3 separate regions of the Mus musculus genome follow, and regions 2 and 3 are each reported to be linked to region 1. The links are microRNA targets in miRTarBase. Many come from high-throughput screens and were not tested one by one. Region 1 holds a microRNA gene; each other region holds the end of a gene's coding sequence.

Evidence for each region. Region 1 holds the annotated microRNA mmu-miR-758-3p (UUUGUGACCUGGUCCACUA, at 2,684-2,702, opposite strand). A microRNA usually pairs through its seed, bases 2 to 8, with sites in the 3' UTR of a target mRNA and lowers its output. Matches are read on the target gene's strand: a 7mer-m8 pairs with bases 2 to 8, a 7mer-A1 pairs with bases 2 to 7 and ends in A, and an 8mer does both.
Region 2: the mRNA of Kdm6a is a reported target of mmu-miR-758-3p. Seed matches in the 3' UTR shown: 8mer at 1,248-1,255 and 7mer-A1 at 1,749-1,755.
Region 3: miRTarBase lists Spryd4 as a target of mmu-miR-758-3p. The part of its 3' UTR that is shown has no 7-base or 8-base seed match.

What each region holds. Positions count from the first base shown.
Region 1 is chr12:109,711,416-109,715,559 of GRCm38, reverse strand. It overlaps Mir758 (microRNA 758), which reads right to left and starts at 2,750; the gene lies at 2,670-2,750. Mir380 (microRNA 380) reads right to left here and starts at 3,757; the gene lies at 3,697-3,757. Mir1197 (microRNA 1197) reads right to left here and starts at 3,243; the gene lies at 3,124-3,243. It overlaps Mir323 (microRNA 323), which reads right to left and starts at 3,052; the gene lies at 2,967-3,052. It also overlaps Mir329 and Mir494.
Region 2 is chrX:18,277,990-18,281,989 of GRCm38, forward strand. It overlaps Kdm6a (lysine (K)-specific demethylase 6A), which reads left to right. Exons shown (of 29, transcript NM_001310444.1): 29 at 637-1,947. The coding sequence ends at 666. Among named protein-coding and RNA genes, the nearest start is that of Kdm6a, 120 kb to the left of the region's middle.
Region 3 is chr10:128,207,382-128,211,381 of GRCm38, reverse strand. Spryd4 (SPRY domain containing 4) reads left to right here. Exons shown (of 2, transcript NM_025716.2): 2 at 1-1,474. The coding sequence ends at 529. Gls2 (glutaminase 2 (liver, mitochondrial)) reads right to left here. Exons shown (of 18, transcript NM_001033264.3): 14 at 3,992-4,000; 15 at 3,760-3,821; 16 at 2,715-2,791; 17 at 2,213-2,276; 18 at 1,378-2,094. The coding sequence ends at 1,938. Among named protein-coding and RNA genes, the nearest start is that of Spryd4, 2.4 kb to the left of the region's middle.

The DNA.
Region 1 (4,144 bases):
CCACGGGGACCCTGTCCCTTCTTCAAATGACTTTCCTTCCAGGGCTGAGTCCTGATGCCATACTCCCATGTCCCATGTCCCAGAGTCCAGGGAACAGCAGTCCAGGTCCCTTCCCTGAAGGCGTCATCAGGGACAGGGAGTGCCCCCAGGGTGGGATTTGATACTAAAAAAGAGGTTTCCCGTGTATGTTTCATCATAAATAAAGAGAAGACAACACGGACAACCTCTCCTTCAAGTATCAATTAGCACTGGTCAGAAAGCAAACAAAGGCAGCTGGAAAGTGCCAGGTGCCTTGTCAGAAGTGTCTGCTTCTGTGGGCCCTGGAGAGCAACCAAAACCCCTGTGCAATTTGACAGTCCACAGAATTGCCTGAGACTATTTACCAACAACACAGACCACCTGCATTCCTTATCTCTCCAGGTTTAGGGGGGGTCACTGAAGGGAACCAGGGACCCCAGAAATTGTGCCTCAGGAGATAACAGGGGAATAGTAGCTCTCAACTTCAACAAGTACAGTACATTGGGGGTGTTCAGGAATGAGCCTCGGATTCTGGTTCCAAGAGGTAGGTGGGTGATGAGAAGCGACCCAGCCCTCTGGTTGTGAGTCTGGGTAGTTTCCAGGGAAGGTAAGATTCTAAAAGCAGACACATTATAAAGTTAGTAGGAAGGTAAATGTGTGCCAGCACATGTGGTAGTATAAAGAAGCAGCAGGCAGGGGCAGGCAGTTCCACCCCCTGGTCGAGTGGTTCTCAACCTTCCTAGTGCTGTGACCCTTTAATATACTTCCTCATGTTGGGTAATCCCCAACTGTAAAATTATTTTCAATGTTACTTCATAACTGTGATTTTGCTACTGTTATAAATCATAATGTAGATATCTGATATGAAATGCCTATGAAAAGGGCTCATGATTTGCAGATGAGAATTGTGTTCTACCTGGAACCCCACAGAAAGCTCTACTGCTGACCACAACCCTGGGTGGAGTTAAGGACTAAGAACAGATTTCACATCTTTTGTTTATTTGTTTGTTTGTTTGGTTGGTTGGTTGGTTTGGTTTTTTTCGAGACAGGGTTTCTCTGTATAGCCCTGGCTGTCCTGGAACTCATTCTGTAGACCAAGCTGGCCTCGAACTCAGAAATCCACCTGCCTCTGCCTCCCAAGTGCTGGGATTAAAGGCGTGCGCCACCACTGCCCCGCTCCAGATTTCATATCTTAAAGCTCACTGGGCAAATGTGTGTGCCAATTTCAGGTTTGCTTTCCTACTGCTAGAACACTGCTGATTCCAAGTCTCTTATTACAAGGATGTGGGTGTGTGTGAATAGCATGGATCTAGGTACCATCTGACACAGTGGGTGTTCTCTACAATAGACAGTCCTATAGCAGGGGTTGGCTGATTAAAAGCCCATCACCGTGCCTCCAAAGCATGCTGGACATGTGTGGGGGTGGCTGTGTCTAACCTGTTAGAAGCAAAGTGGGTGCAACCTACCTGTGATGACCTGGGGTAGAGTTGCCTCGGTGGCTGCCATCTTCCCCAACTTTGGAACACCATATTGGTTGAGAAGTCCTCCTGAGAATGGACAAGATACTGAAGGTTAGAAGCACAGGCAACAGAAATCTGATGTATGGGATGGGTTTTGTCCGTCACTCACTTGTTCATAACTATTAGTGTGTCCTCAGCTGAGGCTGAGGTATGGACCAGAAGGCCTCCATAGTTTGTTCTGATGGGAAGAGAGGTTGACCAAATGTGTTTCAAACACAGAAACCCCTCTTCCACATCCTCAGTTAACAATAACAATGACACCTTCCCAAACTGGACCTTCAGACCTGGCAGGCCTGGGAGGGTTTAGAGGACAAAGGACACCATTCAGAACGATAATCCACTCGCTGGCTTTGTGGAGAACCAGTTATTCCTGTCCCCTGGCTGGATGCTGACAGGACCATCCTTCCCTGAGACTGGGATCTGGACCACGAAGCCTCCAAGATGGGATTTGATACTGAAAAAAAGGTTAGCTGGGTGTGTTTCATTCTCATCAAAGAAACAGAGACCCAGAAAACCTCTCTTCCGGTACCAGAAGCGAACACTGACAAGACTACCTCGGTAATTCCCCAACGTGACCTTCAGACCTGGCAGGCCTGTTGAATGCAGGGTTGCACACTGGATGTTAGTCAAAGTGCTCAAGCAAGCCATTAGTTGATATATATCTGACAGCCATCCCATCACATGCCCCAGTACAGCAGACCTCCATGGCATGATCCTGAAGTTATGTCACAACCAGAGAGCAGTGGCGCAGTAGAGACTGGCTATAGGACTTACCACCATTTTGGGTAACCACAGAAAGGCACAGATGCCCCCAAACCAAAGATGATTCCTCCCACAGATTTAGCATGCAAGTGTGCTAAGGTGACCTGCGACCTGTGCCATATATAAATGGCATACACACACCCTGGTCATGTCTGACAACATGGTACGTTTCTTGAACTTGGATGGCCCCATATCAAGGAAGGGATCCAAGTATAGGACAGCATTGGAAGCCCATCCAATACTACCATAACAGGCACATATGTTGCAAGTACTGAGGATGCTGTCTCCAAGTCTAACAGCGTACAGCTGGCTTATTGCCTCTGTCCCCAAAAGTTGAGATCTCTTCCAGGAAGTTCTCCAAGGGAAGGTTAGATACTGAGGGTTAGTGGACCAGGTCACAAACGGCACAAATATAGCGTGTGCTCTCTGGTCAACCACCTCACGCACCCACACGTGTATCACATGTCGATGCCACTTTCCTGGTCTGCAAGTCACCCTGCCCACGAAGCTGCCAAGCCAGAGAAATTTGCTGAGAAGAAGGCTGCCACACAAGAGTTATTGTCAGACACAAGAAAAGACAAACCCGCTGGCTGGGTTGCGCTAGCACACACATTTAGTGTCCCCACCCCACAGCTGGTGTTAGCTCCAGGAAAGCTCGCAAGGCGGGATTAGATACCGCAAAGAGGTCGACCGTGTAATGTGCGCCATAAATGAAGCGAACGCGCCACGGACCACCTCTCTCCAAGTACCAAGCAGCAGCAGTAGGAAGACCGGGACACTGGCTCTTCCTCAAAGCAGATGTCACCTCCTGGAAGTCTTCCAAGGCGAGATGTGATATTGAGAAGAAGTAGACCATGTGTCCTACGTCATAAATAAAGCGTACACACCATGGTCAACCGCATCTTCAAATACCTTGAGGTAACGCTGGCTGATTCCAGCTCACTTTACTTAATTTGGTGTTACCTCCAAAATGCCTTCTCAATGAGTGTCACAAACTACCAGCAATCGGCATGTGTGGCAATGGCCACAAACTCATGTTTAATGCCACTATGACTTCCAGGATGCCCTGTAAGGCTGGGCTGGGTGCCAAATATTGGCTTTGGATCAAATGGCCAGAGTCGTAGGTAATGAACATGGCCTGTAGCCAAGCACTGGGTAATCTGTGTTGGATAGGGTCTGCCGCCTGAGCCCTACTCTCAATTGGTATGGCTTTCAGAAAGCCCCTGGTGACCGGCTGATGCAGAGATGTGGTGGACCATGCTGTACATGCTGGAATTAACGCACACACTCGACAGTCTACCATCTCCCCAAGTACTGTGCTGAAGCCAGGACAGGATATCTCCCATGAAGTTGGCTCGGTCTCTGGAAAACCCTCACGAATGACTTTGATAACGAGAAGATGTGGACCATACTACATACGACACAGAAGTAGCGCATGTTCTATGGTCAACCATCTTTTCAGGTACCATGGAGAGAGGGTGGTGCAGGAGCTGGCTTCTTTCCTCATGATTATCACTTCCAGGAAACCCTAGATGCAATGTTGAAAAGAGACCACCATGCATTGCCTGCTGCAGATGCAGAGAATATAGCAAAGAGAAGTTTGCAAGGACGCGAAGAGAAGACCCCGTAACTAGCACTGTGCCTTTAAGGAAATATTGTTCACAGGAAGCCCCCAAGGCGCATTCACTATTATGGGAAGGTGGACCAAATTAACATGCGCTGTAAGTAAAGCAAGAAGCATGGACAACCTCTACCCCAAGGCATTTGTCCTTCTGCCTTGCCCCCCCACCCCCAAGGTTAATGGGGCCTCTTTGGAAACCTTCAAAGCTGAAGTTGATATTGAA
Region 2 (4,000 bases), not on the chromosome of region 1:
TTGCATGTGGTATAACCTTATGAATTTTAAGTGTACTCACAAATCACAAAGTTTTTCATTGTAAGCAGCAGATACAGGAAGCATTTCACTCAAAACAGATCTGACTAGAACTACAGACATAATTTATGAATTTTTTTTTCTTCCAATACTTTCCACATACATGTAATCAAAACCTAGCTTTTGAAGTTTAGCTCCTGGTATTTTCATTTGGATGGTGTTCAAGATTGCTTCAAGAAAAAAAGAAAATCACCTGGAATTTATCCCCCCCCCCAAAAAAAAAGTATTACCAGCCTTAGATTACTGAAGGCAGTCACTAGTAATATTGTAAATAATTTGATAAATTGATTTTGTAAAGCCCTGTCAATGAAAGCAATATATAAAAAGTGGTAAACTAAATAATATTCTAAAAGATTTAGGAGGCATAGTAAAACATACAAAAGATTCTTACAAAAGGTGGCCAGGTGGGAGATCTTAAGGGAAATTGTACTGTTTCGTTGTGTAACAAGGCTGTTGAACTTTAACAGAGAATAATTTCCGCCAGTTTCATAAAGCAACATATATATTTGCAGCTGTGAATCAAGGAGCACAACTAACAAATGAGCATACCAAAATAGTCTGCCTTGCTTTTATTTCCAGGCTCCTCCATTACCATCCGCCTCATCTTGATATTGTTCCATGGACATTAAACATGAGACCTTTTCTGCTATTCAGAAAGTAACCCAGTTCTGCACCACTGCTATTTGTAGCTATCTCGTAAGGCTGCTGGCTGAAAACTGTGTCTATGCAACCTTCCAAGTGTGGAGTGTCAACCAACTGGACGGGAGAGTACTGCTCCTATGCCAGGACTCTCGTAAAGCTAATTAGCTGAACTTCAGAGAAAAAAAAAAGAATAATAATTACCACGTTTTGTATATATCTGACAAAACTGGCAACATCATAAAGACTACTGACTTGAAGACAACCTCTTTTATATTTCTCGATTTCTGGGCTAATGAATTTGTTTTCACCTATCTTTTCCCTTTCAGAATTTTATTCGGGGGGGAAAATAACTAGCCTAGCTGGTCATTTCTTTGTAAGGTAGTTAGCAATATTTAGTCTTTCTTTGGTCACCTTTTTTTTTTTAATGTGAAAAGTTAAGTAAGAAACTTTTTTTACTGCTTTTATGAATTTCTGTCTTGTTTTGAAACTATGATCGTTATAATTTTGGTTCCCAAATAAAACATTTAAAAAAAATAATTAACAGCAACGTCACAAAGATAATGGATTGCACATAGACTAAGAAATAAACTTCAGAATTGTGATTTTTTTTGTTTCTAATCTTGATGTAAATTTACACTATTTATAAATACATATTTATTGCCTGAAAATATTTGTGAATGGAATGCTGTTATTTTTTCCAGATTTACCTGCCATTGAAATTTTAAGGAGTTCTGTAATTTCAAACACTACTCCTATTACATTTTCTATGTGTAAATAAAACTGCTTAGCCTTGTACAGAAACTTTTATTAAAATTGTTTAATGTTTAAAGAGTTTTCTATTGTTTGAGTTTTAAAAAGAATTTATGTACAGTGCCCAATTTTTGTTCACTTTTCAAATCTGATTATATATATTTTATATATACTTATGTCTGTATATATAATATATATAGAAATCTAGATATATGTATAAAGATTTAGAATTTGAATTTTTCTTGTTTTAAGTTTCACATCTATGGTAGATTTTTGAGGTGTCTACTGTAAAGTATTGCTCACAAAAAGTATGATTATTTTTAAAGAAATATATATGGTATGTATCTTCAAGACCTAAAATGTCAGACTGGTTTATTGTTAAATTGCAACTACTGCAATTACAGACAAAAAAAATCTGCCAAATGTAGTATAATAGAAAACATAGTGATTGAACTTAAAACTTTAAAGGGAGTTTTAATACAGGCTTTTCAAATCCTATACATGACTCATCATTTTTTATGAGGAAAAAATTTCCAGGATGAAGGGCCGTGTTTTAGAATACAAATTAATTTAAGAGGCTTATTTTTTAATGTTAGGCAATTTTGAAATATCATGCCTTTCTGCATGCATGACAGTGGAGTGGGATTATGTTACCATTCACAGATTACCGCTAGTTAATGCTAGGATTTTTTTCCTTCTTTTTTTTTTTTTTTTTTTTTTTTTAAATAATGGCACCTTCCATTTGTACCATTTTCTTAAGTACTTTGGGACACATTTTTATTTTAGAATATAGTTCTTAAGAATTTTCCACCAAATTAGGGAAGAAGAATAGAGAATGCTGTAAGTAAAGAGTGGGTGGCTGGGTTGGTTGGTTCATATCTAGTCTTACCTGCTGGACCATTGTGGTGAATATATTATCTTTTCAGATATTTTTTAGAGTATGTCTTAGGAGTATTTCAAGGACTGAAAGTATAGAGATATTTTATTCAGTTGGTTAATAACTTAGTAAACATTGAATGTCTATTGGCATTCATTTCTTATTATTTCAGGAAGCAATTATTCCAAATCATTTATCCAAATACTGATTCAGCTGTTTAACTACAAATATTTTAAATGGTTAATTTGTAAAAATAAGCTATCAAGAAAGTCCAACAGAATGAAATAAGGAAGTAAGGCTTTTGTGAATAAAAATTCTAAGCCAACCTTAAAGGAACAAAACTACACCTAACTGTTCTTACTTTGTTCTAGTTTTTTGTTCTAGTCTTACTGACATATCTTTTGAGTGACTATGTTAAGGTAAAGTTTTGTCAAGATGAATGTGTTGTCTTACATCTATATAAGAGAAATTTATGTAATCCAAGTTTGAATAAATATATCAAGATTAGTTCTTGCTTAGGAACTTAGTCTTTGAATAAGTAAAAATAGAAATATGGAGATAGGAAGTAGAGGTCAAGTCAATATTATTCTTAAATAGATGAGTGAAGGTCTTTGTAAACAGCTTTACTTCAACTAACAGTCTTTATGATTTGCATTTTTCAAGTTTTAGAAGATAGTTTTGTTTTCTTTACTGTTTACATAGGTAAGTCCATTAAATATGCAATATCCAGATGTCTTAATAATGAAACAAATTTGCATCATAGTATATGCATTGAGAAAGAAGCTCATTTCATACATAATATATAAATAACAAAGCACATGTTGATCCAAGTGCCAACAAAATTCTTTTCTCATTGGCACTGATTAAAAGTTACTTTTAATGAGTATCAGTATTGCAATTTGATTTGCCTAACCTATTATTTAAGTTAATACAAAATTCTAAGTTTACATTTTAAAATAAAACCAAAGTCACATTTACAAAACAATGAACTGATAATTAGGACCTTTCAAAGTACTAGTAATTGACTAATCAAAATTAAGGACCAAATAATGTAGCAGCTTAAGTGAAATGAGGTGTCTTCTAGATATGAAATACTATTTTTATTGTGTGTCTGATGGGAAGGCTACATATATGCCATGCCATAAAATTATGTGGAATTTCATTTATTCTACATATTTATCACACACATGAGTAAAATGTGATTCCTGCTTTCTAGCCTTTTTATATACATCTAGGAAGGGATATATATATATATCCTGGGAGCTTAGAGATCAACTAGCAGGAGTGACATTGGGGCATGCATTTCAGCATCATCATACCTAACAGGACAAGCTGATTTGGGAATTCCAAATGTGGCTGAGGTTGAAGGAATGGCAAAAGACAGTTTGAAAAGAGCTAAAGACTCAACACTGGAAAGCTTTTCTTGCCATATGGAATGTTTGCATTTGTAGTTAATGTGAAACCATCTATTAGATTTAAGCTAAAGAACATTGAGTTTACAGTGCTCTTCCTGCCTGTTTATTAGTTTTGTACACTGTGTTTCTTATATTGACTTTGAACTCATATCCCTCAGCCTCCTGAACACGGAGATTACAAGCTTATACTACCATACCTAGCTTTATTGCCCTTTTCATCTTCTCTGCATTGCAACTTGATATTTCAGAAGGAAGAGAT
Region 3 (4,000 bases), not on the chromosome of region 1:
CAAACTGGAAGAAAAAACGGCCCACAGCAGCCTGGCACTCTTCAGAGGCGACACGGGTGTCAAATATGGCTTGGTGGGACTGGAACCCACCAAGGTGGCCCTGAATTTGGAGCGCTTCCGGGAGTGGGCAGTGGTGCTCGGAGACACCACAGTCACCAGTGGCAGACACTACTGGGAGGTAACAGTGAAGCGCTCCCAGCAGTTCCGGATAGGAGTGGCAGACGTGGACATGTCCCGGGACAGCTGCGTTGGTGCTGATGATCGTTCCTGGGTGTTCTCCTATGCCCAGCGCAAGTGGCACAGCATGTTGGCCAACGAAAAAGCTCCAATTAAGGGTATTGGGCAACCAGAGAAGGTGGGGCTGCTGCTGGACTATGAGGCAAAGAAGCTGAGCCTGGTGGATGTGAGTCGGATCTCTGTGATCCACACACTACAGACAGATTTCCGGGGCCCAGTGGCACCTGCTTTTGCTCTTTGGGATGGAGAGCTGCTAACCCACTCAGGACTCGAAGTGCCCAAGGGCCTCTAATGTGGCCAAGACCCTGAATCGTGCTCATGGTCAGCTTTCTGTCCTTAGTGTCTAAAGCGATTTTACTTTGTTTCAAGCAACTGGTAGCTCTCACAATTCTGTTGGGATCCTTTGTGCAATATTGTAGCCATCTTCCCCTGGGCCCTACTCTGTAAGAGCTAGGTATACAGCCAAAGTCGCCAGTTTCCTAGGTCATCAGGGGATTCGCCTCCTCAGGCCAGTTCTTTGGGTCCTTCTACTTGTGCCCACACACCTTAGACTGTTCAGTCCTGCGGTCCTGCCTCTCGGCCCGTCCCTTATCCACATGTAACTTGTTTTGGGGGCTCACCAGATTCTCTAGAGTAAATGCTCTCTACCTCTGGCTGGAGGAGTGGCAGCCACAGGCTTGGCCTTTTCTCTGATGCACCTCAGATTCTTGGGTTCTGGCTTCCTCAGTTGTACCTCAGCACTAGAGATGTCAGTCCAACCCAGATGCAGCTATCTCCACTCTGAGTCCATCTGTCTTCTGGATACCTGATACCTAGGCAGTTTGCCATAACCATTGTGCCAGTTATGTGACAAAGGGAAAGAGACACTAGGGAGACATGTATGGCTCTGGTGCCAGAAACGTTACCCTCGATAAGTTCCTTCTGTGTATCTGCCACAGTTCAAAGCTCCAGAAAAAAGACAACTTTACACAATCCATTTTGGAGCCTGTTCAGACCCACAACTCCCATCTCCCTTGGCCACAGAATGTACTTAATAAAAGCAGTATTTTGGTTTGAGGAAAACCTGGTGAAACAGTTGAATATGTATGCGGAATATTCAGTTTGGACTTGTCTGACCCTGGGTGCTACAATGGTGATAACTGATGATGTCCTTAGGGGAGAAAGAGAACGACTAAATTTAGCAAAATATAAAATAAAAATTATAATTCATGTAATTAAAGTTTATTTGAACACAAAATACTCTGTCTATAAAATTGCTGTCAGCAGTAGCAGCGTGTCCTGGCTAAGATGGACAGATCTCCGCAGACTTCTAAAGCCACGTGGTTTGGCTCTCACCCATTTCTCTTACTCTGCGGCAGATACATATGCATGTAGCTAGAGGCTCTCCAAGGAAGTTGCTTGTTGGCATGATGATTTCTTCAGAGAGGAAAAGGGGACCTGGGTAAAGACCCGGGCTACTCTCGAGCTGTATCTGGAGGTCTCTGTAGCTAGCTCTGCTCAGGTATCCATTGAGGCTTTTCTCTGTGCTGTGCACTGAACTGATGGGGCGTTTTGATTCTCAGAAAACACTGGCCTGTGTCACCAAATGGCTGTGTCGATCCCCAAGGAAGCAGCTTGCCGTAGTATTTTTGGTGGCTGTGGGTTAAATGTGTGGCCAGCTCATGCTTTTTCTGAAGCAGGGACTGCCCCTGGGCCTGTGCTCATACCATGCTCTCTAGATTCTCTTTGGACAGGGTCTCAGCTGCCGCCTCAGCTTGAGTCTCAGAGAGCAAGTAGGAGTCATGGTAATCTTGAAGCAGTTTGACCACCTCCAGGTGGTTGAACTGCACAGCATCGTCCAGGGGAATGTTGCCCCACCTGTGAGGAGCAGGGATCACAGTTAGGCAAAGAGGACTCGGAGAGAGCCATTGTTGCATGTGTATGCACAATGGCCGGAAGGCTGACCTCCTTCCCTTTAGAATTAAATATTACTCACCTGTCCTTGACAAAAGGATTCACTTTGCAAGCCTCGATCAGAAATTTGACAACTTCAATGTGCCCTAGGAATATAGGTAGGAGGAAAATGAGAGCGTGCAGGTAGGTTCTGAACTGTTTGGTGTAGACCCTCGGTAGCTAGAGTCTGTACCAGAGGGGAGGAGAAAAGTCCTCAATATTTGCTCTTGCTAGCCCCTAGTTACAGTCTAGTCTCCCTGTCGGGTGAAAGGCCTGTAGACAAAACTAGCCATTGCCCTTTATGGGCACAATGATAGGGGGACATCTGGTAGAAGAGAAAGGGCCCTCCACTCTGCTCTTTCTCTTTAACCCTCTGAATACCTACAGCTAGGTTGGGCAGTGCTGGCACATGCCTTTAATCTCAGCATTTGGGAGGCCGGGTTTGAGTCAAGCCTAGTCTATAGAGCAGGTTCCAGGACAGCCAGGGCCACACAGAGAAACCCTGCCATGAAAAACAAATAAAAAATCCAAAACCAAAAAGATACCTTCAGCTGCAGCGACATGTAGGGCTGTGCGGGAATCATAGTCCTTCTGCTCCATATCCATGGCCGACAATGCAAACCTGAGGGGAGTGGGAAGTCGCGTGGGTTACCCTTGCCAGTCTGGAATCACTTAGATAGCGTTCTGAAGTGGGGCCAGACTGGATGGGTTCCTGTTGGCAATCCATTGAGGATTGTATATGAGTCACTTCCAATGACTATGCTCGCCAAACCCACGCCATTAGTGGATGAATTCTTTTTTTTTTAAGATTCATTTATTTATTTATTTCATGTATGTGAGTACAGTGTCACTGTCTTCAGACACACCGGAAGAGGGCATCGGATCCCCATTACAGATGGTTGTGAGCCACCATGTAGTTATTGGGAATTAAACTCAGGACCTCTGGAAGAGCAGTCAGTGCTCTTAACCACTGAGCCATCTCTCCAGCCCTGAGTTGATGAATTCTTTTTGTTTGTTTGTTTTTTGTTTTTCGAGACAGGTTTTCTTTTTATAGCCCTGTCCTGGAACTCACTCTGTAGACCAGGCTGGCCTTGAACTCAGAAATTCGCCTGCCTCCCGAGTGCTGGGATTAAAGACATGCGCCACTAGCCCAGCTGAGTTGATGAATTCTTAACTCACAGCAGGCGCTTTGATTTTAAAACAACAAATCCTCAGGCTGGAGAGATAGCTCAGTGAAGTGCTTGCCTGCCAAGACCTGAGTTTGATCCACAGACTCCACATTGAAAAAAAAATAAAAATAGTAGCACTGGTTTTTAATCCTAGATTGGTGGGGGGTGGGGACAGGTAAGTCCCTGGGGCTTGATAGGTTATGACATCTGAAATTGTCCTCTGGCTACCACAGGCACACATACAAATGTGCAACTGGGCAAGCAGGCATGTGTACACAATGAGCCTACAGACACTTATTTAAATGCAGCTTCTCTAGTCTAACGGGTAAACCGAAGCATTTAGCAGTTTGCTGCACAGTGTCCTAATAAGATGTGGGACTGCGAGTATTTTATTACCTCTATTTAGTCATGACAGAATTACCTTCGAAGGGCCGAGACATCTCCACTATATGCAGCAAATAGCAGGTTCACCACGGTCTTGTTCTGGAACACACATTGCACCCACCTGAGAAGAACTGTGGCTGTGAACCCAGCCATGCTCAGCTCTCCCCGAGGCCCTCCTCCGTGGGCCTCTTCACCAAGGCCACTGCTGAAGTCTTGTGGAATGTATGATACCTTCTAAAATACCCTTTAGGCTACCGGGTCTTCCTTACCCGAACCTC